3 linked regions of the Macaca mulatta genome follow. The protein of the gene in region 3 interacts with the protein of the main gene of each other region in a pairwise test. Links are inferred from orthologs where the notes say so. Each region holds a gene or a part of one and is shown on either strand. Other genes may lie near its edges. The genes, in order: STK11, NFKB1 and TNIP2.

Evidence for each region.
Region 1: the proteins of TNIP2 (region 3) and STK11 interact in binary tests that used the Homo sapiens proteins (3 or more experiments, as listed by UniProt). The link is inferred for Macaca mulatta from reciprocal best matches to the Homo sapiens genes TNIP2 and STK11.
Region 2: the proteins of TNIP2 (region 3) and NFKB1 interact in binary tests that used the Homo sapiens proteins (3 or more experiments, as listed by UniProt). The link is inferred for Macaca mulatta from reciprocal best matches to the Homo sapiens genes TNIP2 and NFKB1.

Annotation. Positions count from the first base shown.
Region 1 is NC_133424.1:1,890,336-1,900,166, reverse strand, and holds the end of STK11 (serine/threonine-protein kinase STK11), read right to left. Parts: intron 9,237-9,831; coding exon 9,147-9,236; intron 7,891-9,146; coding exon 7,758-7,890; intron 7,683-7,757; coding exon 7,546-7,682; intron 7,051-7,545; coding exon 6,923-7,050; intron 6,329-6,922; coding exon 6,271-6,328; intron 5,307-6,270; coding exon 5,119-5,306; intron 4,657-5,118; exon of another isoform or gene 1,783-4,656; coding exon 1,589-1,782; 3' UTR 1,573-1,588; intron 743-1,572; exon of another isoform or gene 678-742; 3' UTR 198-677; downstream 1-197. UniProt on the Homo sapiens protein: Tumor suppressor serine/threonine-protein kinase that controls the activity of AMP-activated protein kinase (AMPK) family members, thereby playing a role in various processes such as cell metabolism, cell polarity, apoptosis and DNA damage response.
Region 2 is NC_133410.1:111,952,629-111,962,671, reverse strand, and holds part of NFKB1 (nuclear factor NF-kappa-B p105 subunit), read right to left. Parts: intron 7,791-10,043; coding exon 7,647-7,790; intron 6,361-7,646; coding exon 6,271-6,360; intron 5,102-6,270; coding exon 4,907-5,101; intron 3,737-4,906; coding exon 3,595-3,736; intron 361-3,594; coding exon 246-360; intron 1-245.
Region 3 is NC_133410.1:2,888,285-2,898,327, forward strand, and holds part of TNIP2 (TNFAIP3-interacting protein 2), read right to left. Parts: intron 5,442-10,043; coding exon 5,151-5,441; intron 3,032-5,150; coding exon 2,942-3,031; intron 1,952-2,941; coding exon 1,703-1,951; intron 1,520-1,702; coding exon 1,400-1,519; intron 1-1,399. UniProt on the Homo sapiens protein: Inhibits NF-kappa-B activation by blocking the interaction of RIPK1 with its downstream effector NEMO/IKBKG.

The sequences.
Region 1 (9,831 bases), on a different chromosome or scaffold from region 3:
TTTCTCTGGGGTCCCAAGAGCGCAGTGGCCTTGGGGGAGGTGAGGGGTCCTGCCCTCAGACCGGGCGGCCGAAGCAGGGTGACCCGAGCGCGCAAAGGCAGCTGCGATGTGAGCCCAACCCCACGGCACCACCTCCCCCCCCCCGCCCCGGCCACCCAGCAGCTCCCAAACACCCCTCACAGCCACAGCTCAAATCCACCTTTTATTTTTTCTTAAAAAAAAAAAAGAAAAAGAAAATGGAACCAACCAAACAAAACCAAAGTGGCCGCGCGGCTTCCGGGCGGTGCTGCATGCATGGCAGGGCCAGGAGCCTGGTCTCCACACCCGCCCGCTGGTCTGCGGCGGGGACTGCGCTGGGCGCCCTGCGGAGCACGAGGCCACGGGCGGGGCCAGTAGTCTCCACGTAAAGTGCATCGAGGCCGCCTCCCTCCTCCCTCGCCTGCCCGGGAAGGCTCTGCCCCGGGCTGCAAAGTCAACAAGCGTGCACTGCCGGGCGGCCGAGGGGAGGGCTGTGCCCGGTCCCTGCTGTCCCCCTGCCCGGCCCTGCAGGGTGCTCCGGAGGTCCTGGGGCGTGGTCGGCACAGAGGCACGGCAGCCACCTCTCCGGGAGGGCGGGCGGGACCGGCAGGAAGACTGAGGTCCTGGCGCGGGCACCTGGCGGGGCTCCTGGACACGGGCTGCAGGGAGGAGGGAGGACGGAAGAGGTCAGCCTGGGTACCGGTTCTCCGCTTCCCTCGGGCTCCTGGGAGGATGGAGAAGCTGAGGTGCAGTCATCGGGCTACCACACTCCAGTGGGGCAGCAGGGGAGGCCAGGGAAGGCCACCCTTGAGTCACTCCCGGGATACATTAAGTGTAGCCTTTTGTAGTAGGGTCTGGCAGGCTCTGACGCTGGTGGATGGGCTGTGAGCACCCATTTGGGGGATAGACACGTAACTCAGGCAGTGACCCCCAAAACCTGGGAGAGGGGCTGTGGCAAGGCAGGGGGTTCAGCCTCGGGCTCCCATCCACCCCGCATCCTCAGCAGGTGACAAGGGTCTCTGACATCTGGGGCTGGGAGAGGGAGCAGGCACACACGGAGAGACAGGGCAGCGTCTGGCACGACTCAGCCTCAGCCAGACCTGGCAGCTGGCTCAAAGCCTGGGGCAGCCCAGCAGGGCCATGGAGGTCGCCGCCCCTCCCCACCACCCACCACTCACTCATGCCTCAAAAGCTTCTGGGCTGAGCCCAACGTGAGCCTTTCCCGGGAGTAGCCCATGCATGGGGAGGGTGTGCCAGGCCCAGGGCAGGGTCCTCTAAATGCACCCACTCTGAGAGATGGCTGTGAGGATGGCACGACACCCCCTAGAGTCCTGCCACACGTAGGCCTCCGTGACCAGCACGCTAGCCAGACACCAGGCCCGGAGATACCACCCTCAGTGGGGATTGCTACGTGGCCAAGCTACCCAAAGGCTACATGGCAACTATGCGCAGCCGTTCGACAGCCGCCATGACTGGCGTGGGCTATGCTCATGGCTGGCTGTGGCATCCCTGCAGTGTCCCCACATGCCCCGCCCGGGTCCCGCCGCACCCCACCTGCAGGTGGCCACCCTCACTGCTGCTTGCAGGCCGACAGCCGGCGGATCTTGCTGCTGGCGGAGCAGGCCTTGCGGGCGGGGTTGGGGGCCCTGCCCTCAGCCTTGGATTTGGTGCTCAGCTGCGCCGCCTCCGTGCCGTTCATACACACGGCCTTGGGGAGGCCCCGGCTCTGTCCATTCTGACTGGCCTCCTCTTCTGGGACCTGTCCTGGGAGGGAGACGGCAAGTGTGGCCTGAGCCTAGGGCCGCACCCCCAGAGCCGCAGGAACCTGGCTGGCCCCCAGCACAGGGACACACTTACAGCTGTGGCCCAGGCCATGCCCACCCCCGGGTCAGGCCCAAGTCTCTCCAACCTGAAATGCTGTCCCCCAGCAGCTCCGGGAGGCACCCCCAGGGGATGAGCCTCCCACAGATGGCCTGGGAGGAATGCCCCCTCCACCCCATCTGCTGCACCTGCCACGGCCCCAGGTGGGACCCCACCCAGGTACTGTCTACAGGGGCCTCCTGAGTAGGCGGCAAGCGGACAGGGCAGGACCCTCCCGTGCTCCCCTGGGGTGCCCTGGCCCATGGTTGGTTCTAAAGGTGGAGCCACCACATGCTCACCTGTGAGGACACAGGAGGGCCAGGCTCAGGCCAGGCAGGCGAAATGCCAGCACAGAACCACGTGGGGAGTAGAGCTCAGCTTGCCAGGGCCCCCAGCCGCCCCCAGTCTCTGCCGGCCACCAACCAGCACCAGCGTCTTGTGAAACTCACAGGCCTGGGGCTGCCCACCCTGCCCAGGTGGACAATGTCCTCATAATGGCGGGGGAAGTGCAGGAAGCTGCCCACGTGCTGTCCCTGCCAGGAGCTGTGGTGGTCTGTGAGGACTCCGCCAACACACTGGCTGCCGAGCCACCCCCAAGGCCCCTCCCAGGCGCCGTCAGTGGGAGGCTGCCCTGGGCTGCCCCAGAGCTCATGTGCCCCGTGCAGAGCCCCAGCTCCGAGAAGGGGCCGGTGGCTGACTCAGCAGCTTCCAGGACTTGCCATACACCTCCCACCGTGTGCACAGGAAGTCACTGGCTTTAAAAAGGCACCTTGGGCCGGGCGCGGTGGCTCACGCCTGTCATCCCAGCACCTCGGGAGGCCGAGGCGGGTGGATCACGAGGTTAGGAGTTTGAGACCAGCCTGACCAACATGGTAAAACCCCGTCTCTACTAAAAACACAAAAATTAGCCGGGCGTGGTGGCGCGCACCTGTAGTCCCAGCTACTCAGGAGGCTGAGGCAGGAGAATTGCTTGAATCTGGGAGGTGGAGGTTGCAGTGAGCCGAGATTGTGCCACTGCGCTCCAGCCTGGGCGACAGAACAAGACTGTCTCCAAAAAAAAAAAAAGCACCTTGGTCAGGAGGCATCAATGGCACCCATAGGTCTTACACCCAGCCCATCTCCGCTGGGGCAGACCCTGTGCCCACTCCCATGGGGCCAACCTGGTAGACAAGGTGCCCTAGCTCTGCATCAGTGGCACAGCTGCCACCAGGGCCCTGCCCCCACGAGGCACTGGGACCCTCGGTCCCCTCTCCCACCCCACACGCCTGTCTGCGCTGGTGCCCAGGACCTGCCCCAAGCCCCTTCCCTGGTTCTGGGTGTCGGCAGCAGGACCCCCATCCTGGGTAGGGACAGGCAAGGCCAAAGTGGAGCCATGCAGGGGCCAATGCAGCAGCCCAGGCCTAGTGTGGAGAACACCCTGACCCAAGGGCGCTGGGCTGTCCTGCCCCGATGCAAGGGGGCTCTGCAGGTCAGGGATGGGGCTCACGCTGAAGCCTCAAGTTGAGCCTGTCCCCAGCGCCTGAGCAGTGGAAAGGGCGTCAGCACCTGAGCACCCAGTACCGAGTACCGAGGCCTCAGCCATGCCAAGTGGTCCCAGCGGACCCCACTCTGCCGGGTACTCCTTCCCACCACCCACAGTGGGCTCAGCAGGGTCATGAAAAAGGTGGCCCAACCCCTGCCCTCCTCCCCGGTACCTCACCCCAGGGCAGCCCACACAGGGCAGTCTCACACAGGCCTGGAGGGAAGCCAGTGCCGGGTCCTGGCTCAGGAATCCTGGCCTGCAGGGGCGGCCGTGAGGGTCAGCGTGTGGTCCACGTCCCAGCAAGGGCTCTGGCGGCCTGCCTGGGCTGGCCCTGCCCTAATTGGCCCTCCTGCCTGGGATTTGCCTGACTGCCCGTCTCGGGGCCCCAGAGCTCTGAAAGGCAGAAGGCCCTGGACCTGGGGTCAAATTGCAGCCAGGCCCCAAGGATGGGCGCCATGAGGGGACCCCACCTCCCAGCACACCCCAGTGACCAGGGTGCCCAGCAGCACCTCCCGTCCCAACAGACGCGACGGCCACGGTGCCACAAATCCAAGAGCCCAGGAGGCGAGACCCTTTGACCCTGGGGGCCCCCACACACTGTACCCTCCTGGGGGGCCCCCACATGCTGCATCCTCTTGGGGAGCCCCCACACTGTACCCTCCCGGGGGCCCCACACTGTGCCCTCCAGGGGAGCCCCCCCACACTGCACCCCCTGGAGCCCCCCACTGTGCTCTCCCGGGGTCCTCACATGGTACCCTCCTGGGGACCAGCTACTGAGCTGAGCCTAGAGGTTTGCTGAGGGGCACGGGGGTGCTGAGGGATGAGGCTCTCTGCAGGGCCCCCACTATTCTGGGACCCTCGGGCCCGGGGTGGTCCTTGTCCCCTGGATCTTCACATCCCAACCTGCCTGGTGTACCCCCCTTCTCAGGCTGGCCCCTGCCCACCACTTCATGCTGATACAGTGAAACAGAAAGCCCCTGCCATGCTCCAGCCGAGCACAGCAAGCATCCATCTGCAGATACACTGCACATCGCTTTATGACACAGCCCAGCCCCAGGCGGAACAGAGGCAAGCCGGAGCGTGGCGGGGAGGGGCTGGCTGCCAGTGCGGGCCGCCCCTATGCTAAGGCCCTGAGCTCCTCCTCCGGCACTACTGCGGCGCCGGCCGCGAGGCTTCCTCTCCTGAAAGGTCTGAGCCCTCGCTCTTCTGTGAGCCGTGATCCGCTCTAAGCCCTGCCTCAGACGCCTCCTCGCCACCTGGGGAAGAAGGGCGGCCGGCATCAGGGCCAGCGGGCAGGCCTCAGGGATGGTGGGAGGGAGGGCCACTGGACCCTCGAATGCCGGCTGTCTGAGGGGCCACCCTGCACTTTGACTCTCACCCGCCCTCCCCCGACCCTGGGGCTCCCCGCCTGCTCCTGCTGGGGCTCAGGCCAAGGCTGGTGGGCGGTGCCTGGCTAGGCAGCACCCGGAGAGACACCTGGGGAAGCCTCCTGGCCAGACAGGCCTTGGCCAGTGCCCCCGCTGCCCCCACGCCTTTCAGCCGTGTCCCAGCTGCCCCCAGGGCGGAGGCGGCCTGCAGGTGGGCTGGAGGCTTCAGGGACGTGGGATTGGCCACCAGAGGGCAGAAGCTGTCCTCACTGCAGACAGGCAGGCGCCCTGCTCCTGTGGGACGTCACAGCCGAGTGAGCAGGGCTGGGCAGGGGCCCCCACCAGACTCACCGGGCACCGTGAAGTCCTGAGTGTAGATGATGTCGTCCTCGATGTCAAAGAGGTCCTCATCCTCGTCCGCACCGTGCAGGTCCTCCAAGTACGGCACCACAGTCATGCTGCGCCACCGGTCCTTGGTGTCCGGGCTCGGCGGGATGGGCACCGGCGCCTCGGCCGGAGGGTGTTTCTTCCGGAACCAGCTGCAAACGCCCAGAAGCAGTGGTGCGTGTCAGGCTCGCACCAGGACGGTGCAGCTGCCCAACCTGGCTCCTCTGTGCTCAGAGTACCTGCTGCACGCTCAGGAGCCGGAACCAGGCCGCGCACCGGGTGGCTGTGACCAGACGCTCAGCCATGCCCTCCCGGAGCAGGCAGGCTGCCAGGACCTCAGTCTGTAGCCCTGACCTCACTCCAAGCCTGACAGATGTCCCCTCCACCCTGAGGCCTGACCCCCCGCCACGCCCAGCCTCAGGCCTGTCTCCCAGGTGGCACTCAGAAGCCAGCACCCACCAGACGGACGTCAGCAAAGGCCAGAAGGGGGTCTGGGGGGCCATGAATACATCCTAACCCAGGAGCCTATGGGGGCAGCCCCAGCACCCGCCCGGTTCCCAGCTGCCCCTGAGCTACGCAGAGATCCCCAAGGGACGATCGGCACCAGCGCCTCAGGGGTCCGGACACTCCCACTCCCAGAGCTGGTCTCTGGGGGGCCTCGGGGCTCGAGCGACCCCAGGGGCTGGTGCAGAGGAGCAGAGCCCACGAGGCGAGGGAGGTCGCACTGCGGGGCCTGCTGTCTTCCCTGTCACAGAGCTGGGTGCCCTTGGCTGGATCCCAACCAGACCGTGCTGCTGGGAGCCCCAGGAGGAGGGTAAAAAGAGGGGCTCTCGCCAGCGTTCAGGGCCAGCTGTGCCTTTCCCGGTGTGTCTCTATGCCTAGGGCAGAGACGGATGCACGTCCTCACTCAGACCCCAGCTCAGACAAGGCCTGTCTGGCCACTAACAGGGCACTGCCCAGAGACCCCACTTGGGCCCTGAGAACTGCGGGCGCTGCACGGGGTCTGGCCCCAGCCCAGCACCCCCACCATGCCCTGCTCTGGTGCCCACTCAACCAGCTGCACACGTGGCCAGCCTCCCTGTGGTCTTGGCCCCACTGCCCCCAGGGGCCGCTCACCTGTGCTGCCGGATCTGCCGGATGGAGAACCTCTTGGCCGGCTCGTACTCAAGCATCCCTGAGGAGAAGCCGGCGAGGAGCCAGTCAGCCAGGCACAGGCCCGAGACCCCACCAATCATCCCCACCTGACCAGCCTCTGTTGTCAGGCCCCAGGTGATACCTGGATGCTCCCAAGGGGGGCCCCCTTGAGATGGCCTCCCTGACAGAGGCGACTCCAGGGGACAGGCCAGGGACAGCCTCTGCGTGCCTGCCTGGGAGACAGGGCTGGGCTGGACAGGCAGGGCAGTTCCATTCTCCCAAGGCCACTGGGCAGACGGACAGACGGCCAGTGCCACCTGCTGCCCACACACAGGAAGTGCAGCAGGACGAGCCTGACACAGGCCAGGGAGCCCCCGAGGGCGGGGCTGGGGGAGGCGCAGGGCAGCACTGCCCTCAGGGGTGGGAGTTGAAAGGTGAACAGGGCCCAGAAGCAGGGTGGAGCTGAGGGACCCACAAACCAGGCCCTAGTGGGAGGCCGGCCTCTCCGCTCAGTCCTCTCAGTGCCTGCAGGGGTCTCAGGGCCAATAGCCCCCCACCTAACACCCCCCACCCTGCATTTCTGCACAAAAGCCCCGCCTCCCTGGGGCTGTGGGCAGAGGGACGAGGCCCCCACCTTTCAGCAGGTCGGAGAGCGGGGGGCCACAGTCACCCGGGATGGCGTAGCTCCCCTTCCCAATGTTCTCAAACAGCTTGTAGATGTTGTCCCCTTCGAAGGGGTACAGACCCGTGGTGATGTTGTAGCTTCATTCGAGGGGAGGGAAGAAAGGTGTGGTCAGTCAAGGTGGTCGACGCCCCGGGAGCCCCACCTCTGCCCCAGGGACGGAGCCCTCGCGTGGCTGCTGGACCACAGGCCCTGCGGACTCAAGGACACCTCTGTCTTCACCGCCTCCCACTAGTGGAAGCCATGGGGCAAGAGAGGAGCGTCCTCTGGACCCACCCGGGGAGGGGCCTGGAGCCACTCTCACCCGCCCAGCTTTCCTGTGGGGCTCTGAGAGGAGGATTGGTTGTGACACTCTGTGAAGATCCCTGACAGGCTAGGCTGCATGTCACATGGGTGAACCACCATCTGCCGTGTGAGCTACGTCTCCATAAAGTAAGCACCCCCAGTGGCTGTGGTCAGCGAGGGTCTAGGCTGGTGGCTACGCCCTGCACCCACAGGCCAGAAGCTGCCCAAGATGCAGAGGCCCCTCCGGGCTGTGCGTGTGGCGAGTGCCGGGGCGGGGCCGGGGCACTTACAGGGTGACCCCAGCTGACCAGATGTCCACCTTGAAGCCGGAGAAGGTGTCCAGGCCGTTGGCAATCTCGGGTGGCTGGAAAGCCGGGGAGCCCTGGCTGGTCCGGCAGGTGTCGTCCGCCGCGAACGGGTGCAGTGCCTGTGGCAGTGCCGTGCAGCCCTCAGGGAGTGCCCGGGAGGGGGCGCCCCAGGGCCCCCCCTAGCACGTGCCTACCTCGGCCACGCCCAGGTCGGAAATTTTGAGGGTGCCCCCGGTGGTGAGCAGCAGGTTCCCGGGCTTGATGTCCTTGTGCACGATGCCCTGGCTGTGCAGGTACTCCAGGCCGTCAATCAGCTGACAGAAGTACCTGCGGGCAGCACACACCTGTCTTGGGACCGAGGCCTCCCTGTTCCTCACAGGGGTCCCCTTTGCAGCCGCCTGGGAGCCTCCCAACCACCACAGGCCCAGCTGGGGAGTCACGGAGGTCCAGGCACACAGGACAGAGGAAAAGCTGGGTCCAGTAGGGAGCCAGGCCTGCGCCTGCAGTGACCACCCTCATCCGGCCGAGTCACGTCTGGCAGGGCCCCGGATGTCCACAGGTCTCATTTCCCTGTGGGCCACAGGCCGGCTGCACCCCAAAGGCTTGCTGAAACAGCAGGCCCCTCCCTGCCCCTGCAGTCCTGCAGCAGCAAGGGGCCCTGACTCTGCAGCCAACAGATCTGTACCAGGAGGTCCGGTCGGGGCAGGTGGCTGCTGGGACGGGATGGGGTGAGCTGCCGGCCTCAGGCAGCAGGCCCAGCAAAGATGGAGGCAGGAGGTTGACAGCAGCCCTGCCCGTGGATACCACACACAGGAGTCCCCAAAACTGTTTTTAAAAACTTGGGCCTTCACAGGGCGGGGCGTGGTGGCTCACGCCTGTAATCCCAGCACTTTGGGAGGCCAAGGCGGGTGGACCATGAGGTCAGGAGATCGAGACCATCCTGGCTAACACGGTGAAACCCCATCTCTACTAAAAATACAAAAAATTAGCCAGTCGTGGTGGCGGGCACCATGGTCCCAGCTACTCGGGAGGCTGAGGCAGGTGAATGGTGTGAACCAGGGAGGCGGAGCTGGCAGTGAGCAGAGATCGCACCACTGCACTCCAGTCTGGGCGACAGAGTGAGACTCCGTCTCAAAAAAAAAAAAAAAAAAAAAGGCCGGGCGCGGTGGCTCAAGCCTGTAATCCCAGCACTTTGGGAGGCCGAGACGGGCGGATCACAAGGTCAGGAGATCGAGACCATCCTGGCTAACACGGTGAAACCCCGTCTCTACTAAAAAATACAAAAAAACTAGCCGGGCGAGGTGGCGGGCGCCTGTAGTCCCAGCTACTCAGGAGGCTGAGGTAGGAGAATGGCGTAAACCTGGGAGGCGGAGCTTGCAGTGGGCTGAGATCCGGCCACTGCACTCCAGCCTGGGCGACAGAGCGCGAGACTCCGTCTCAAAAAAAATAAAACAAAAAAAATAAAAAACTTGGGCCTTCATGTCAATGAAGATCAGGACAAGCCGTGTGGCCACAGGGAAAGGAGCCTGCCCTGCCCGGCCCCCAGCCCCTGCTTCACCCCAGCCCCTGCCCCGCGCACACACCCGTGGGCCTGGCACACCGGGAAACGCTTCTCTGGCACGCTGTCCAGCATCTCCTGCATGCCACACACGCAGTACTCCATCACCATATACGTGGGATGCTAAGGACACACAGCTCAGGGGGCGGCCCCACTCACAGGCCCGGAGAGCACAGGGGCCAGAGAAGGGGTTCTGGAGGGACCCTCCGCAACCACTCTGCCCCTCCTCGGACCAGGGCCCACCCTGCCCCTCCTCGGACCAGGGCCCACCCTGCCCTCACACCCCTCTGAAAAGGCCCCAGCGTCTGGGAGGAAGGAGCCTCCATGGGAGTGGAGGACAGGGCTGACTCTTGGGGCAGTGTTCCTGCGGGACTCACGTCCCCCACCCCGCCCATGGGCGGGGGATGATACCTCCTGGACGCCCCCACAAGCAGGCTCGGGTCCACACAGGATGGGGCCCACGGCCCCTGACTGCGTGACTCTGAACACAGCCCCAGCCTCAGGACCACTTCTGCTCTTGCTCTGGGCACAGGGCCTCAAGCAAAGTCCCCGTAGGGAAGCTGTGCCCGTAAGACCCATGGGGGGAGTCTACCGATGACACAAGGACACGCTCAGCCACGACCAAAATGGCCCACAACATTCAGCCTGCGTGGCCTGCCTCAGGCAGACCCTGGCCACATCCCGGTTAGCCTTGGAGAAGACTATGAGAA
Region 2 (10,043 bases), about 110 Mb from region 3:
ATTTGCCTTCCCCCAGTGGGATGCTGAATTTCATTGTGGCTTGATGGCTGTTATACCCACAGATCAAAGGATCCTAAATCATAAGGTAACATTCTCAACTAATGGGATTTTAGATATTACCTACAAGGGTTTGTTTTTATTTTTGCTACTCTTAACATTACTAAAAATAACATGCACCCAAACATACAAAAGAAAAAGTAAACTACGGATTTTTCTTCAGTTGTTTTCTTGAGATTTCGGCTTACCTGGTACAGGTCATTTCTCATGTTGATAATGTCATCAGAAATCAAACCAGATGTGACTTCTAGTAGATCCCTCACAAGTTGAGAATGAAGGTGGATGATTGCTAAGTGTAAGACACTGGAATGAAAACACAGTGGCAATAATTAACTAAAATGTTAATGAAAAAGAAAAGATTCCCAAGATGTGATTAGATTCAAGGATGGAATCTGTTCTCATACCTAGTTTTATTTGGCCCTAAAATGTTTTGAATCTATAAAATGTATTGAATCTGAGGTGGGATGCTGTCTCCAGAGGACCCGTCCCTCCCAACTGTCTGCCCAAAGCTGTTATGTTATTTGTGGTACCTGCCTGGCCTCTGGGAGCATTCACGTCTGACCCCTTGATGCATAAACACACTGAGGCTTCCAGCCCAGAAGTACCTAAGCTTAAATCCCAATTCTACCTCTATACTATGGCTTTGGGTGGTTTTCTCCTCTACCTTTCCCCCTGACTTTTCCTGACACACAGATTTTATGTAAAATGAATGCCTGGCACTAGGAATTGTTCAGAAAACTTAGTTATCTCACCTAGTCCTGTTGCCCTCCTCCAAAATACACTGCGGTGGCTTTTTAAAGATCTTTCTAGATCCCAAGAGGGGAGAATGGTGTAAAGCTTTTAACTACTGGAAGAAAATTCTTGCAGTAAACTTGTGAAGAAACAAAGTGATTGTATTTCCCGCCACTCCTGCAAACATTCTGGCAAATATTCCCTCTACCTGGAATGTTTTTGCTCCTTTCTTCTGCCTGAACAATGCCTACTCCATCCTTTATATTCCAGTTCAAACCTGACATCCTCAGAGAATACTTTCCTAACCTCCTAGGTGGAGCAAGTTGTCCCTCTCAAATTTACTGCTTGGTTATGCAACTGCAGTTTTCTACATATTTTTCTCTTTCTCTGTCCTGTCATCTCTGGGGCAGGTTCTGTCTGAGTCAATCTTACAGCCCTAGCATGCAGTAGGGGCACAAAAATAAGAATGATAGAAGGAACCTAAGAGCTTACACTAACGAGGCTGAACATACCGGTGGTGTCAAAATCACTCAGAGAAGCATAATTCTTTTAATTATTAAAAAACATACTATTAAAATTCAAAACAATAACAATAACAATCATTTTAACAGTGGCTACTATTTTTGGGGAGCTTTGATTTACCAGACTATGCTAAGCATTTGATATATATTGTCTTTTTATTATAACAATAATCCTAGGAGGTAGGTAATATTATCTTCGCTTTTTGGCTAATGAAACTGAGACTTGTAGGCCTCATATAACTCAGTCAGGGCCATAAGTGGTGAAGCTGGGATTCAAGCCAAGGTCTGTCTTACTCCAAAGCCATCTCTTAATCCCTTAAGCAATCCTCCTGCATAGGGGATACATGTGCACTGCTCTAAAGACGTGCAGATGAATGTCTAAGAAGATAACCACTCCAGAGCATGGACAGATTGAGGTGCAGAGCACACTAAAGCATCTCACAGCAAAACTACATCTGGGACATGAGGTACAGGCTGGATCTTCTCTAAAATAAGCTATCAGGTGCCACTTTACTCAAGCCTCTTCCTTAGCAATAGCAAGTATATCGTACTTGGGATTAACACTGGCACAGAAGAGCCTAAAAAACTAAATTGTGATTTTGCTACTTGAGAAATATTTTAAAATGGATGATCTCAGGGTTTCACTATTGCTTCTTGAAATGTGATACTGGAAGAAGACTTCTGAAAAGGGCCTAAACTCTGACATAGACATGATGCACATATACCAAGAAAAAGGTCATACTTCTAAAACTGCCCGAAAATTTCCATGTGCAGCTCAGCATTTCATAGCAGAAGTACATTCCCCCTCCCCCTGAAATCCTCACACCCTTACGGGAATTTCCCCAATAGCAGAAGTTTTATATACTTTTCTTTATTGTATTTTCTATGATGACTAACAGCCACAGGACTCAGACTATTAGCCAAATATGATGGACTGAATTAAAACAAGAGACTTGGGCTGTGATGGCCAAAAGCTGCCCTTTACCTACACTCTTCTGAGGATCCTTTGGTCTCTCCAAGTCCCACCTCTGTGGCCTCTCTGAGAGCCGGCTTGTGTGAGCGTGCTTGGGTCTTAGGAGGGAACTTGCACGTGCCTCGCCTTGTATCCCTTCCTACAATCCCCCCTTCAGATATCAGCACTTCCTTTCTAACCTGCACGTGCTCATCTTCTTAGACTTATCAATTCAACAGGTCCCTGGAAATGCCACTTGAAACACTGCTATCCTGTCTCAGTTAACTGCTTTTTCTTGTGGTTGTATGCTATTGAATGCTAACTGGATTATTTAACCCTGAAAAAGCATTCTGCTGTTCATGGCCTTACACCAAGAAGGTTGTACTGGTGCCTCTCATACTGTATAACAAGGCCAGTGGTTATACCACATCCTTGGTTACGTTGCAAGGAACGAGAACAAAGGTGTCTCTGCTTGAAACCCTGAGGTTGTTACTTTCCTAAAGTGCTTGGTTTAATTTTTAAACTGAGGTCTAAAACACAGCACTCAAGAGCTCTTCCACAGAAAAGGATTTCTCTGTGTTGATGCTATTTTAGGAAGGTTTTAGATAAGGCACTTGACTTGAATGTGAAGGCTGCTGTTTCTTGTTATTTTTATAGGCTTTCGAGATACTTTAGAAGTCTCAATGAAAGGACTAAGAGAACTGTTTTAGAAAGAAGCCAGGTGGCTTTGCAAATACAATCTCAGTAATAGCAGGAATGGAAGGCATGGTGTTTGGAATGTTCGACTCCCACGCATGGGCTGGAGCAGTCACAAAAGTCTGAACCAGTCACAGACTGGTGACCACCAGAAGAGGTAGTAGAGAAGAAACCAGTAACTGGGAAAGAATGACCAGTCCCTCTTAATCTTTCTGTTGTTGTTGCTGCCTTTATTGAGCTTTTTCTTGAGTACACTGTCATTATAAATATGCAGCTGGGATAACAAGGTTTCAGGGATTTGGTAGGATTCTTAACAATTCTCCAAATATTATTTCAATAAACAAAGCGAGGCTTTTCAAAAAGTACCATTACCTATACACATCTTAGTTTGCTTGCCCAGAGAGATTCACTCTTAGATGAATCCTCCAGCTACTACAGATTCCAACAGATGACAGCAGCAGGATGGAGCAGCAAATTGTGCTACTTTACCTTATTCACACTAGTTTTCTTGATCGTGCCAGTTAGAGGACTCAATACATTTGAACAATTATTTTTATCTCTAGTCAGCATGCATTATATGATGCTCTTCTTTTTCCCTACCCAGAACAACCTATCATGCAAAAAATCCTGACTTACCTGTCCCCATTCTCATCCTGCACGGCAGTGAGATGGCGCTGGACGGCCAGCAGCATCTTCACGTCTCCTGTCACTGCGTAGTCGAAAAGGGCATTGGCATGCCTCTTTGCAAGCTGCATAGCCTTCTCTAGAAAGAGGTTATCTGTAAGGCAATGACCACAATCATAGTTGAGTGTTCCTACTTTTGTTTTATGGGTATGGCATGCTCAAGGCCAAACTGACCAGCATCAGTGTTCTGACACCTTGACACATCATTTTAGTTGAAAATGCTCTTTCAATGCTTTTGGATTGTGTTGACTAGAAAAAGCAGAATTGGACATTGGGTCACTGACAAATATAGTTAGAGATTGATCTTAAAGAATCTATGTATGGTTTGTTAGAGGAAAAAGTTTAGAAATGTGTTATTTTAAGGGAACAACCATTATCTGTTATTTTAAGGAAAACAATCTCCAAACAATGTTAGATTTTACCATGATTTTAAATCACCAATATCTTGGTGAAATAATCCTTCATTGGGATCTCTACCAATTAGCTTGTTAGGCAATGTGTGAAAAAACACACGTCTCTGCCATAAACAGAGACTTTCCATGAAACACTCATGTTTTTGTAAAGTTTGTTCCATTAAGGTCAGGGAATGGCAGTTGTGACCTTTGGGCCAAAACCTGTTTATGCTCGGCTTTTCATATAGCTCCCTAGCTAATCATGGCTTATACATTTTTAAAGGGGTGTAAAAAAAAGGCATATGTGATAGATACCACATGTGGCCACCAACTCTAATTGCTTTTACAGATGTCTTCTTAGTACGATCTAGGATGACCTAGAATCATGACACATATGCTAATAAGTATTGGTTCAGAGTAAACGCAAAAGTACATTTTCTCCTAATCCTACTTGTTCAAAGAGGGCAACAAGATAAAAAGAAAAGTTCCTATTTTAAGGCAAAGTTCTATTTCAGTATGATGGTTAAGCCAGAATCTAGAGAGGGTGACTATTAAGCTTGTAGAAATACTTCTCTATCTGTGCCAGAAAAGAAGTTGATTATCTCTCACAATACCCTAAAACTGCATGATTGTGACTGGAGAATGTACATGTAAATTTCTGTACTTTACATTCAAAGATAACAGAGCAAAAATGGAAATCCCAGTGTGAATAAAATGATCTGACATATGCTCTTCCAAAGACATACAGAACTTTGAAGAGTACGCTAAACTAGATATTGATATGTCATCTTCAGATTAGCAGATACTTTTCTACACCTAGGACTGACCCCTCCCCAGCCAACCAATAGAACGTAATTTGTGTGCTCACTTACCCTGAACCCTAGCACTCTCTTCTTTTGCTCTTGTTGCATACGTTAGAGTGACCTCACCATTCCCATCAGTGGCCTCGCTGGGCTCCTGATTGTGCTCTGTGGTTTCAATGACTTTCCCAAAGAGGTTTACAGTGTTTCTGTCATCACTTCTGTCACAACCTTCAGAGTCCTTTTTAGATTCAGTGTCCATGGTTCCTAAGAAAAATGTAAAAACATCAGATTTTTCTCAGTAAAATGTATTAATTTAGTGATAATTCACTATTCCAATGCAGGTCAGATAAAGGTAAGAGGCAAGTTTGCTGCAAAAGGAAAAGAAAAATAATAATTTAAAATTCTTTTAAAAATGGTCATATCATAAATACCATGTTTTGGAGATACTCTAAACTCAATTCTAAAAACCATTTTTAGTATACTTCTAAAATCTTAGATCTCATTTTGCTTATTTACTTGTAAAGGAGAAAAATGAAATAAAGCTCTTCTGTCAATTGCAGAAAAGTTGAATTTTTAAAGTTCTTGAAAGCAGAGCAGTTTTTTCCTAACGCTAATGAACAAAGCAAGTCATAAAGACGTGTTGTCAATTCACATTCTTTAGTATGGGAGCTATCCAGTGTAGCATTCCTGATCATCCTCTTTCAGGTTCAACTATGTTATCTGACAGACACTATGAGAGCATCTAGCTTTTATAGTGGAGACCTGCTTCAAATTCTTGTTCTGCCACTAACTTCTGTGTGCCTTCAGTGAGTATAAACATTTCTGAACTTTGGTGTCTTTTGTGTGCAAAATGGAGATACTATTTTCCATATAGTGCAGTCATGAAGATAACAGTTAAAACATGTAAAAGCACTTGGCACAAAAATAGGTATTCAATAAATGGGAAGACTTCTTTATAGTATTATTTCTTCCATGGGTACACTAGAATGGACCTGTAATGTAAACTATCAACACGTGGTTTAACTGCAGCTTCTCAGGTGATGACTTGATGGGAAAAGACAAACCCTATAAAACTCAAAATGATTTCAGAAGTGTACTATTTGAGAAAACGAGAGACAGAAGACATAAGTTTGGTGATGTTTAAAACGTTTGAATAGTCAGGTCTCTGTATATCTCTTTTCAATGCTCTTTTCTTTCCTCTGTTCATGCCACTTACGAAGGAAATATATAAAATATAAACAAGGAACAGAGTTTATACTAGCCACAGGAAATAATATCTTTTGGAAAAAGTATCTTCTCAGTTTATTTGCATTAATCAATTATTTTTCAAGACAATAATACTGTTGTGATGGATTTAAAAATTTTTTTTTAAATCTATTTTTTTTAGGATTATTTTTTTCCTTTCTTGGTATTAAGAATAAAGCATTACTTACCATGCTTCATCCCAGCATTAGATTTAGTAGTTCCAGGATGGAAGGTAATCCCACCATAAGTAGGAAATCCATAGTGTGGGAAGCTATACCCTGAAATGGCAAGTAAAACAAATGAAACATCATGAAGATACTTTACAAGACTCAGCACAACTTAATGTCTGTCTGTCAGGTGAGCACAGCCTTTGGTGTGAAAGGACAGTACTGTGCCCACACGTGGTGGGGGTCATGGGACCATCAGAATTCCACTTTGATAAAGTTTACATTTTGGCAACTCTGACAGCACCCCAGATTTGGGGAGTGGTTGCGATGGAGAAAGCCTCCACTCCTATGTGAAGGGGAGAGGCTAATAGTGAGGGTCACCAACCAAACTCAGACTTGCCTACATAGAAAACATTAAAATAACCCCTTGAGGAAAAAAACTAAATCAAACAAAGCACAGAAAAACATACTGACTCCTCAATGGAAAAATGGCCACCACTGTTCACTCCTAGGCATTTTTGGTGGAAGCACAAGCTGGTACAACTCTTTGGGGAAGCAGCTGGCATTAGATGTCATGCCCTCTGACACAGTAACTTTACTACAAAGACTCTAATTTACAAAAGTAATCTGGAATAAAATGAAAAGTTATGTGGATAGGAGTTCAGTATAGCATTTTACATAGAAAACAGGAAACTACATGTAAGTAAGTTATTCTATGGTTTGTTCACTTGAGGAAATGAGTCATTAAAATGATGCTTAAAATTTACGCTTAGGTAAAGTTCATATTACTGGAGGAAATGTTTATGTTAACATCTCAGGTAAACATTGCACATATGACTCTATACATACAGTCATGGTGCAAATGATAGTAAAATAGTATTACAAATAAATGAATTAAAATAAAATGCATGATGGTGATCACAGTTGTATTCAGGGGAAAATTCATAAGTATCTACTATAACATATACATAAAAAATAGTAGTAGTTAACCTTTGGCAGATTTTATGTATTTTCAAATTTTCTACAATGTATTATATAGAGATGTTTAATATGTGGTATGTATGATATAAAATTTTTTCAATGTTTCCAAACAAAAACAAGACAACCAAATCAAAAAACATAAAAGAGAAATATACTAAAATGTTTAGGGAGGTACTCATTAAAAACTGGCTTTGGGGTACCTTTTTTCTTCTTAAAGGCTTTTGAGATTACCTACATATTGTAAAATGAACATAGATTTCTTTGAAAAATAAATTGACATTTGTCAGGAAATTTTAATTAATATACTCAATAATATCATAGCCACTCAACTCACAGACACACTCAGAAACCAAAGAAAAGAAAATTCTACCCTCTCCAATATGAAAAAGTTTTAGAAAGAATAGGTGTTTTTGTACCTGGCCCTGTACTTCCAGTGCCCCCTCCTCCACCGCCACTACCAAACATGCCTCCGCCTCCAGCTCCAGCGCCACTCCCACCGCCGAAACTATCCGAAAAATTGGGCATGAGCTTCTGCCGTTTCCTCTGTACTTCTTCTTTATCTGTATTTAAAGGAAGAGAAACCAGAGGAGAAAAGATTGATTCGGTCCCACCACTAGCCACAGAAAGACCACTGATTCTAATGGTATTTTTAAACATCTTAAAGGGAAATAGAAAGCACTCAAAGAGGAAGAGATGCTAAATTTCAAGAAGCATTATATTTATTCCAATGGGTATGAATGCTGAAAGCTAGCTCCAAAGAGACCACAGAGCAGTACACACCCAAATCCACTCTACAACAGTTTCTTCAGTGCCCAGTGTTGTTAAAACTAGTGAAATATTCGATTGTCCATCAAAAAGATACTGAAGATATTGAATAAAAAATTATTGACCCTTTTGCTTGGTCACACAAAATAACTCATGTTAATAAGTTAACATTTATTATGCATCTACAATGAGCTAAATGTTGGAAATAAAAAAAAGCATGACATAATGTCTTTGCTGTCAAGAACCCTCCAACATAATTTTAAGATAGTGGGGGAAAGACTTAGTGAGACAGCACTATAACACTACATACATTAAATTCATGGTGCAGATCAGTGTTCTAGGAGTTTCAGGAAAACCTTTTAGGAGGTCACTGGGGGATGGGAAATTCAGGAATGGCTTCTCAAAATCAATTTTATATAAGAGGAGGAAAAAGGAAGATGTTCTGGGAAGGGGATATGGAGGAAAACAATAATGAAGGAAAGACGTACACGGGGCGCTTATGAGAACAGGAGTAGATAAGTTTGGCTGAAGTGAAAGTTTAATACAGGCATGCCTCTGAGATATTGAAAGGTTCAATTCCACATTACTGCAATAAACCAAGTCACATGATGTTTTTGGTTTCCCAGTACACAAAAAAGTTACGTTTACACTCTACTATAGGCTATTAAGTGTGCAATAGAATTATGTCTTAAAAAGAAGCAATGTACATATCTTAATTAAAAACACTTTATTGCTAAAACAGGCTAACAATCACCTGAGCCTACAGCAGGTTGTAATCTTTGTACTGGTGGATGGTCTTGCCTCGAGGTTGATGGCTGCTGACTGATGAGGGTGGTGGCTACTGAAGGCTGGGTGGTTGTGGCAATTTTTAAAAATAAGACAACAATGAAATTTGTTGAAGTCTGTCAACTGACTCTTTCTTTCACAAAGATTTCTCCATAGTATACAATGCTGTTTGACGGTATTTTATCCACAGTTTTAACTTCCTTCCACATGAGGGTCAATTCTCTCAAACCCTGCTGCTGCTTTATTAAGTTTAAGGAATATTCTAAATTATTGTCATTTCAACAATGTTCACAGCATCTTCTCCAGGAGTAGATTCTATCTCAAGAAACTACTTTCTTTGCTCATCCATAAGGAACAATTCCTATCCATGAAAGTTAAATCATGAGCAGCAGTTCAGTCCCATCTTCAGGCTCCACTTCTCATTCTCTTGCTATTTCCACCACATCTGCTGTTACTTCCTCCACTGAAGCCTTGAACCCCTCAGTGTCACCCATGAGGGCTGGAGTCAATTTATTCCAAATTCTTATTCATGTAGCTATTTTGACCTCCTTCAATGAATCACAAATGTGCTTAATGGCATCTAGAATGGTAAATCCTTTCCACAGGGTTTTCAATTTACTTTGCCCAGATTCATCAGAGTAATCACTATCTATAGCAGGTACAGCCTTACAGAATGTATTTCTTAAACAATGAGACTGAAAGCCAAAATTACTTTTTGATCCATGGGCTGCAGAATGGCTGTTAGTAGGCATGAAAACATCTCCTTCAGAGCTCTTGGGTGACCGGGTGCATTGTCAATGAGCACTACCATTTTGAAAGGAATCTTTTTTTTTTTTTTTTCTCAGAGCAGTAGGTCTCAACAGTGGGTTTAAAAATATTCAGTAAACCATGCTGTAAACAGATGTGCTGTCATCCAGGTTTTCTTGTTCCATTTACAGAGCAAAGGCAGAGTAGATTTAGCATAATTCTTAAGAGCTCTAGGATTTTTCAGAATGATAAATGCGCACTGGCTTCAATTTAAAGTCACCAGCTGCATTAACTCTTAACAAGAAAGTCAGCTTTTTTCTTTTTCTTTTCTTTTCTTTCTTTTTGAGACAATACCCAGGCTGGAGTGCAGTGGTGCAATCATAGCTCACTGCAGCCTCGACCTTTTGTGTTCAAGTGATCCTCTCACCTCAACCTCCTGAGAGTCAGCCTGTTTTTAAAAGCTTTGAAGCCAGGCATTTTTACATCTTCTCTCTAGTTATGAAAGTCCTAGATGG
Region 3 (10,043 bases):
CCAAGAAGGCTGCGGGGGCTGGGCAGGGGCTCGAGGCAGGGCCTGCTGTGGCTGGTGAAGCCTCCAGTGCCTCCTTGTCAGCCTGTGAACTTAACGGAGGAAGACACAGTGCCCCGCCAGGTTCCTCCTCCCTCATGCACAAGTACAAACAGCTGCCTGTGTCTAGCCCTCTGCTGCAGACTTAGTCCAAGGGTGTGTTAGAAAAGGTGTCCACCGTGACTCTCTTGTGCCCTTCAAGCAGAGAATCTGAAGCCACTGAGGCCCAGTGGCTGCTTGGAGCAGGGCAGTGGGGTGGCCTCACAGCCCCACGATCCCTGTTCACACCCTGAAACACGGGGCAGCTCAGCTTGGCCTCCCAGCTCCAGCCCGGGGTGCATCGTTTCTCAAGAGGTATCACTACTGTTCAGGCTATGCCAGGAGAGGAAGCTCTTTGAGTGGGGCCCAGGGCCATTCCCAGGGCCAAAATTGTGTTAGATACTTGATGAGGAGCTAAATAAACAAACTTCTCCTGGATTTTTTTTTTTTTGAGACCGAGTCTGGCTCTGTCGCCCAGGCTGGAGTGCAGTGGCTCGATCTCGTCTCACTGCAAGCTCCGCCTCCCAGGTTCACACTATTCTCCTGCCTCAGCCTCCCAAGTAGCTGGGACTACAGGCGCCCACCATCACGTCCTGCTAATTTTTTGTATTTTTAGTAGAGATGGGGTTTCACCGTGTTAGCCAGGATGGTCTCGATCTCCTGACCTCATGATCCTCCCGCCTTGGCCTCCCAAAGTGTTGGGATTACAGGCGTGAGCCACTGCGCCCAGCACTTCTGGAGTTTTGCAAAGCACGTCAGTGAGGAGAAGGAAGAGGCCATGGGTCATACACTGAAGAACCTCACTGGTTCCCATTCACGCCAGGTCTCCCTCAAGGTACCCCATGGTAGGAAGAGCACTGAGCCCAGGGGTGGAGTGAGGGGCCCCTGGCCTGCAAGGCCCAGCTCCACGTGCCAGGCTGAGCTGGGGGATGTTACTGGACACCCAGGGCCATCATATCTACGTGAGAGGGTAAGCAGGGTTCCCGCCTCACAGACAGGTCAGGACATGTATGGAGCTCACGCTTTGAGGCCCGAGACATGCCCTCTGACTGCATGACAGTGACGGACGGGCCCTGAGAACAGCCACCTGTCCTCAGGCCGCCATGCCAGCCTCCTCCATAACTAAACAGTGTAACAGGGAAGCTTTCCATGACCACGCCCAGGTACTAGGCCAGGTGGCTCTCCCCAGAGCAGGGAGGGGCCCACCACAACCCTCATCACCAGCAAATCAGGGCCTTGGCAGACACAGAAAGGCTCTAAACTCATGAGAAGGAAAACAAAAACGCTAAACCTAAGCAGGAAGAAAAACGCCGTCAGACTCTACCTGTCTCCAGGACACCTGGTGCAGCAGAGAGCTGACCCTCTCCTCCAGTTCTTGAATCCTACTTTGAGCCCGTTCCCGATCGGCCCTTTCTGACATGAAGTCATCCTTGTAAGCGAGAATCTGAAGAGGCGAGACACACATTTCTGCTCAAGCAAAGAGAAAGTGCCCCCCAGGCTTCTCCCCCACCATGACCACTGCCCACTCAGTGCCACCAAGCCTTCAGCCCAGCCTGTCCCATGATTTTGGCCACCACCAGCCAGCAGCCATCTGGTTGGTGCCGTCCAGAGCCCGAGGGACAGACACCTGCTGTTCCAGCATCTGCACCCGCTCCAGTGCAGCATCCCGGGCCGTCCTGGAGGCCGCCAGCTCCTGCTTCACTTCTGCACAGTCGTTTATTTTCTCTTCCAATTGTCTGTTGAGCCGGGAGATCTCCTTCCTCATCAGCTCGGGCTCATGTGGGGTCTGCAGCCCCCTGAGCTGCGCATGGAGCCCCCTCACATATTCGTCCCTGCTGGCGTCGTAGCGCTGCCACTTGGCATTGAGGTCTTCAACCTGAGGAGGTGGAGCCGGAAAGCTCACGGCGACGGCAGCTGACAGAGCTGCTCAAGCCACACCCAGGGGGACTATTCATCAGCAGTGATTTGCTGAGTGAGCGTTTCCTCTTAAATGGAAGCTGCCCCTCCCTGTTCTGTAGAGAGCAGACACTAGGCCCACTAGAGAATCCCGAGGCACCGTGATGACACCCGTACGCAACCAGCATAAACAGAGGTGCACTTGGTGCAGCTTTGCTTTTTTTTTTTTTTTTTTTTTTTGAGACGGAGTCTCACGCTGTTGCCCAGGCTGGAGTGCAGTGGCGCGATCTCGGCTCACTGCAAGCTCCGCCTCCCGGGTTCCCGCCATTCTCCTGCCTCAGCCTCCTGAGTAGCTGGGACTACAGGCGCCCGCCACCGTGCCCGGCTAATTTTTTTTTTGTATTTTTAGTAGAGACGGGGTTTCACTGTGGTATCGATCTTCTGACCTTGTGATCCGCCCGCCTCGGCCTCCCAAAGTGCTGGGATTACAGGCTTGAGCCACCGCGCCCGGCCTTTTTTTTTTTTTTTTTGAGACAGAGTCTCACTCTGTCGCCCAGGCTGGAGTGCAGTGGTGCGATCTCGGCTCACTGCAAGTAGCTGGGACTACAGGCGCCCACCACCGCGCCCGGCTAATTTTTTTGTATTTTTAATAGAGACGGGGTTTCACCGTGGTCTCGATCTCCTGACCTCGTGATCCACCCACCTCGCTTTTCTGTCTTAGAAAAGGTACCTCCTGCTGCTAATTCTTGCATCTCCTTTACTGACTTGTGGATTAATTTTAGGGGATGGAGACGGACAGGACATATCCTGTACGTCGTTTTAAGCAAAAAAGTCCAGTCTCTAGGGACTGTGTGTATCAAGTCATAGTGGCCAGAGGGCGGGGGCAACCTCTGGGCCTCAGCCAAGGAAAGAACCCTCACTCACAGTTTGTAAGCCGCGTGTTCTCAAACAAAATGTGAAAGACACTCACGTGAGTCACCTTCTGTTTTAACAGTCGATTTTCTTCCTGCAACTTCTCAATAACACTCTGGACAGAGGTGTGCCCACCTGTATGTTCTGACTGCATGAGGAAGGGACAGAGAGAAGACAATCTGTCACAGCAAGAGGGGAGAAAGCTAGACCCAGAGGCTGAGGCCACAGATGATCACTGCATCCCCCAAGGCAGCGGTTAGTGATCATTCATTTGGTAGAGAAGCAAAGCAGGGACAAGGGACCACCTTCTCCCTGCCCAGGCCCACCCCTACCAGGCCCAGGCCAGAGCCCAGACGGAGGGTCTTCAGGCCACATCACCTTTGACACCGTCCTTATCCCATCCTACCTACCAGTTTGAGCTGTTTGTCTTTTAAATATTTGGAATGTAAATATTCTAAAGTCATAATGTCTACAGGGATTGGCACACCAGACATGATCAAGTCTTCTCTTTGCCAGAGGTTTGCCATTATCATAGACAGCAGGGAGGGCAGGAAGCCGAATCCCATTGTAAACCAGAGGATCTCCAGCGAGGGGGCTCTCAGCTGCCCAGGGTGGGCCTGGCCATGCACCCTGCTTACCTCCTTTGGAGCCCATGACACTGTCCTGTCTGCAGACAATCGGGTTCAACCAGGTGATTCTGGACACAGCAATCTAACCTCTGCCCCACGCAGGGTCAGGAGTCATGGAGGCCACAGCCCAAACCAACCCCCACTAACAACTAGAGACCTGAACGAAAAGTCTCATGAAACTCGTGTGTACTCTAGAATTCTGACTGTATATCAGTGACATAATTTTTGAGAATTCCCCCCGAGTGACAAAGGAAGTGCATGTCCTAACGCAGCCTACACCGGGAAGCCCCGGGTGACTCAGCTGAGTTCAGGGCTGAGAAGTGACACTTATTTAGAGACTGTGACGAGGGCCTACGCTGCCACTGGCCCCACCCCCGCCTCAGGCTCAACACTGTGTGTGGCTCCTTTCAACTCCCCAGAGGGAAATGACACACTGACTCAAAATCAGACCAGAACACCGGCCTCCGCCCCGATGGCACTTTCCTTTGGTTTCTGAATGCGGCTGTGTCCTCTCTGAGGTTCCCCGCCTGGAATCCACCCAGCTGAGGTGGGCAGTTCTCAGACCAAGCTTCTCCCCAGTAGGCGCCTTGGTGAGGCTGCCGATGGGTGCGGGAGGTACTGTCTGACGCAGAACATCCCAGCGTGTGTGTTTCTGCATGAACCTTGGTGCTGCCTCAGAGAACTGCCTAGAAAGGACTCGAGCGAGAGGCCCTGTGCCCGGCAGTGCGAGTGCGGTGGCACCTCAGCCTGGGTGGGATGTGCACAGAGTGCCTCCATTTCCCCGCCTGCCACACACAGACACCACGGGCACCAGCGAGATGGAAGGTGGCTGGCTCACACTGGCCACAGCACCTGGCACACACATGCCGTGGCCGCTGCTCCCTACTCTTCTGCCTAGGAGCCTCCTGGTTTCTCCTGATGCTGAAACTCCCACAGTTCCTCTCTCTCCCACTGGACCCCACAGAGAGCTACAGCCCAGATCCAGCCTATCCTGGAGGTCCAGTGAACCCTTCTTTGGCCCTCACTGTCACCTGGCACCGCTGTCCCCTGCTTTGATGAGGAGGCTGTGACCCTGAGACAGGTCTCCAAGCTTGTGGGAGGTCGCGCTGCTGGCAAGGACATGCCTAACGCCAGCTTTGGAGATGGCGGTTCCAGCTGTGCCCAGATCCACTCAGACACACTGAGCCTGCAGAAGGCGACTCACGGTCCTTCCGGGAGTTCTGGGTGTGGAACTGGAGGCACTCCCTGTCCCCAGCAGTACCACCCGGCTCTGCTTCAGTTTCCTCAGATGAGGAGGATGTGACTGCACTTCCTCCATGCAGCTCTGCCACCCTCATGTCTTCCTCCTCATCCTCAGCTGAGGCAGATGAAAGCCAGGTGCCACCTCCCACCTGGGAGCAGGGTCAGCTACAGGCCTGGTGCTGGGCAGTGCGGTGGCTGCCTGCTTTCCTATTACACTGTGCATGTTCCATCATTTTAAAAGAAACCCTTGGATGAGCGAGCTTTGTCCCGTCAGCTGACTCTCGCTGCTGAGAACAGACTGGGTTCTGGGACAGCCCCTGGCCTCTGTGATCGGGGCCTGTAGGCAATGCTCCCAGTACACAGGGTTCTTCACCACAATCTTACACGGTGGCCTACCTGGTCAGGACTTCTCTCCCCCACATTCCTGTGTGCATGCTGTCGTTCATCCAGACACTTGGCCAGATGCTGACACATGTGGGCAGTGGCGGTCAGCGTCCTCCGTAGCTGATGGGTCTCGTTGGCCAAGGAGCGGCACAGGATATCACTGGCGGCCCGGGCGCGCTCCCCTTCCGCCATGCTCCTCCGTAGCAGGACGACTTCCTTCTCTCGCTCGTGCTGGGGCTGGCTCAGTAGCTGCTGCATCTCCCTCTCTTTTTCTTCTAGTCGTTCAGTCAGCCTCTCAATTTCCTAAGTGGAAGATTTAAAAGCACAGTTTACTGAATTAAAAGAAGCAGTGTTGAGAGCAAATGTTCAGAAACCAAAAGGAGACCTGGCATGGATGCCCCAGCACCAGACACAAACACACTCACTCCAAAGTCGGGCATCTGAACTAACAATTACTCACTCAGAAGTCGGGCATTTGAACTATTAACTCTGGAGTTTTTCAGCCTACAATGTTCTGTTCTGAAACTTCATCTTAAAATTTTTTTTTTTTTTTTTTTTTTGAGACAGAGTCTCACTCTGTTGCTCAGGCTGGAGTGCAGTGGCATGATCTCGGTTCACTGCAACCTCCACCTCCCAGATCCAAGTGATTCTCCTGCCTCAGCCTCCACAGTAGCTGGAATTATAGGCGCCCACCACCACACCCGGCTAATTTTTGTATTTTTTTTTTTTTTGAGACAGAGTCTTGCTCTCACCCAGGCTGGAGTGCAGTGGCACAATCTCGGTTCACTGCAAGCTCCGCCTCCCAGGTTCACGCCTTTTTCCTGCCTCAGCCTCCCGAGTAGCTGAGACTACAGGTGCCCGCCACCATGCCCAGCTAATTTTTTGTACTTTTAGTAGAGATGGGGTTTTACTGTGTTAGCCAGGATGGTCTCGATCTCCTGACCTCGTGATCGACCCACCTCGGCCTCCCAAAGTGCTGGGATTACAGGCGTGAGCCACCGCGCCTGGCCCAATTTTTGTATTTTTAGTAGAGACAAGGTTTCACCATGTTGGCCAGGCTAGTCTTGAATTCCTGACCTCAGGTGATCTGCCCGCCTCGGCCTCCCAAAGTACTAGGATTATAGGCGTGAGCCACCATGCCCAGCCCTTTTTTTTTTTTGAGGCAGGGTCTCACTGTCACCCAGGCTAGAGTGCAGTGGCATAATCATGGCTCCCTGCAGCCTCGGCCTCCCCAGGCCCAAGCGATTCTCCATCCTAACCTGAGTAGCTGGGACTACAGCACGTGCCACTGTGCCTGGCTAACATTTTTGTATTTTGTAGAGACAGGGTTTTGCTGTGATGCTCAGGCTGGTCTTGAACTCCTGGACTCGAGCAATTCAGCCGCCCTGGCTTCCCAAAGTGCTGGGATGACAGTGTGGGCCACCGTACCCCGCCAAATTCTGTTTTCACAAGCAAGCACATCATTTTAGATTTCGTATCATCAAGATGTTGTTTTGAAATGAGGGTCTCGCTATATATAGCCCAGGCTGGTCTTCAACTCCTAGGCTCAGGCAAATCCCCCCACCCCAGCCTCCGGAATAGCTGGGACTACAGGCTCAAGCCACTACATGCAGTTTTCATCAAATTATCAAAGTGGCAATTCCAAGCACTTTTTTGATAGGAAAGGTAGAAACTCCACTGTAGTGGGCAACCCCCAAAAGATGTCCACAACCAAACCCCCCATTCCCCAGTATCTGGGAACGAAACCTTATTTAGAGATAGGGTCTTTGCAGATGTAATTAGTTAAGGTGAGGACAAACTGGATTAGGACGGGACTGGTGTCCTAAGAAGAAGACGGAAGTCTGGACAGACACACAGAAGGAGGCCATGTGACAACAAAGATATGAGTGACATCTTGTCTTGTAGATAAAGGCCAAGGAACACCAATGATTGGCGGCCCCCACAGGAAGCTGAAGAGGCGAGGAAGCGCGTTCTTCCCTAGGACCTTCAGAGAGAGCCGATGCCTTCGTTTCCGGCTTCTGGCCTCTAGAACTGTGAAAGATTACATTGCTGTTGGTGGAAGCTTACCCCTCCCCCCGCACCCCCCCCCCCCCGTTTGTGTTACTTTGTTACAGCAGCTCTAGGAAATTAACACACCCAACCCCAATTACTTCTTAAAGAAATGAAAAAGGTTCTTAAAATGACAATTTTTTTTGAGACAGGGGCTTGCCCTGTCACCCAGGCTGGAGTACAGTGGTGCCATCATGGTTCACTGCAGCCTCGACCTCCCAAGTTCAAGTGATCCCCTTGCCTCAGCACCCTAATGAGTTGGACAACAAGTGCAGGCCACTGTACCTAGCTAATTTCTCTATTTTTTGTAGAGACAAGGTTTCACCATGTTGCCCAGGCTGGTCCTGGACTTGAGTGATCTGCCTGCCTCAGCTTCCCAAAGTGCTGGGATTACAGGCAAGAGCCACCACATCTGACCTGACAATTTTTTAACACCTGGCCTTAAATTTGTGCTTTTCCATTTTCAAAGACTCCTCCAAAATAAACAGTACATTACATGAAGGAGGTGAAGCAGGCACAACTAGTCCATCCCACAAGTGAAGAAACAGTTTCAGAAAAGTCAGGGAGGAGCCCAAGCTTCCCCCAGAAGCGGCAGAAGGGTCCAGCCTCTGTCTCTAGTACTTGAGGTGAGAAGAAACAGAGACCGGGAACCTAGAATGTTCTCATCACAATGGAACAAAATACTAAGCCCTATTACTGCAGGAACCCTGATTATTCTTTTTCTTTTTTTTTTTTTTTTTTTTTTTTGAGACAGGGTCTCGCTCTGACACCGAGGCTGCAGTAGAGTAAATCAAAGCTCACCAAAGCCTCGAACTCCTGGGCCCAAGCGATCCTCCCATCTCAGCCTCCCAAATAGCTGGGACCACAGGCTCGAGGTCAACGCTGCAGTGGGCCGTGATGGTGTCAGTGCACTCTAGCCTGGGTGACAGTGAGACCCTCTTCAGGGATAAAAGACTTGGGGCAAAACCCGACTTCTGTTTCTGTTTTTTTTTTCAATACAGACAGGGTGTTGCTATGTTGCCTAGGCTGGTCTTGAACTCCTGGCCTCAAGCAATCCTCCTCCTGCCTCAGCAGGAGTCACTGTGCCCAGGTAAAATCTGATTTCGGAGCCTCCTTCTTACGCTGGTCAAATGCTGACAGCAGGAGAAGCAAACGACCCACCAACAGGAGGGCGGCAGGCCCACAGCCCAGAGATCCTGACGGGCGGCTCTCTCTCACCTCCCACCTTAGTACTCAACACTGAGCCCAGCCCCACACAGATGCCCAGTAAATGGGAATATCACTGGGCCATACAGAGACACAGGAAGACCCAGGCTCTATGCTCAACCCATGGGGGCAGACCAGCCCTGCCAACGGCTGCCCCACATATCCTCCCCTTAGCAGCATGCAGGGCCCCAACACCCCTCCAGCCCCCAAGGTTCTGGCATTTGTCCCTGGCTCTGAAGTTGCAGAGATGTGCGCTGGTTTACCTGAGTGCCTTGTCCAGTTAGTAACAGTTCTTAGGACACAACAGCACCTCGACCACTGTGGCCAGAAAGCAAGGTATGTGCTGGAGTTGTGGCTCTACACACACGGGCACAGCACATGGACTAGTCAGCAACGGGGCGGCCATCTCTCAGGAAAGCATGTCGCTGGGACCCACAACTCCACGCTCCACGCGCAGAACAAAAGTGTCAACAGCTCTATTCATAGTCTTATGGATTGGCCTTAAAAACAAGAGGCACAGGCCGGGCACGGTGGCTCACACGTGTAATCCCAGCACTTTGGGAGGCCGAGGCGGGCGGATCACGAGGTCAGAAGATCGAGACCATCCTGGCTAATACGGTGAAACCCCATCTCTACTAAAAATAGAAAAATTAGCCGGGTGTGGTGGCGGGCGCCTGTAATCCCAGCTACTCAGGAGGCTGAGGCAGGAGAATGGTGTGAACCCGGGAGGTGGAGCTTGCAGTGAACCCGGGAGGTGGAGCTTGCAGTGAGCCAAGATCACACCACTGCACTCCAGCCTGGGTGACAGAGCCAGATTCCGTCTAAAAAAAAAAAAATTAAAAAAGAAAAAAAAGAGGCACAATGGCCTCTTGGCTTACAGGGCTGCTGTAACAAAGTACCACAAACTTGGTGTCTTAAACAACAGAAGCGTATTCTCCCAAAGCCTGTAATCCCAACACTTTGGGAGGCCAAGATGGGAGGATCACTTGAGCCCAAGGGTTGGGACTAGCCTGGGCAACATGGCAAAACCCGGTCTCTACAAAAAATACAAAAAACGTTAGCCAGGCAGGGTGGCGAGCACCTGTAGTCCCAGCTACTTGGGAGGCTGAGGCAGGAGGATCACTTAAGCCTGGGAGGTCAAGGCTGCAGTGAGCTATGATCATGGCACTGCTCTCCAGCCTGGGCAACGGAGTGACCCTGTCAAAAAGAGGGGAGGGGAAAGGAGGGGAGGAGAAAAGAAAAGAAAGGAAGAAAGAAACAAGGCAAGTGGCTGGGTGTGGTGGCTCACGCCTATAATCCCAGCACTTTGGGAGGCTGAGGTGAGTAGATCACGAGGTCAGGAGTTCAAGACCAGCCTGGCCAACATGGTGAAACTCCATCTCTACTAAAGATACAAAAAATTGGCCGGGCGCGGTGGCTCAAGCCTGTAATCCCAGCACTTTGGGAGGCCGAGACGGGCGGATCACGAGGTCAGGAGATCGAGACCATCCTGGCTAACACGATGAAACCCCGTCTCTACTAAAAAATACAAAAAACTAGCCGGGCGAGGTGGCAGGCGCCTAGAGTCCCAGCTACTCGGGAGGCTGAGGCAGGAGAATGGCGTAAACCCGGGAGGTGGAGCTTGCAGTGAGCGAGATCCGGCCACTGCAC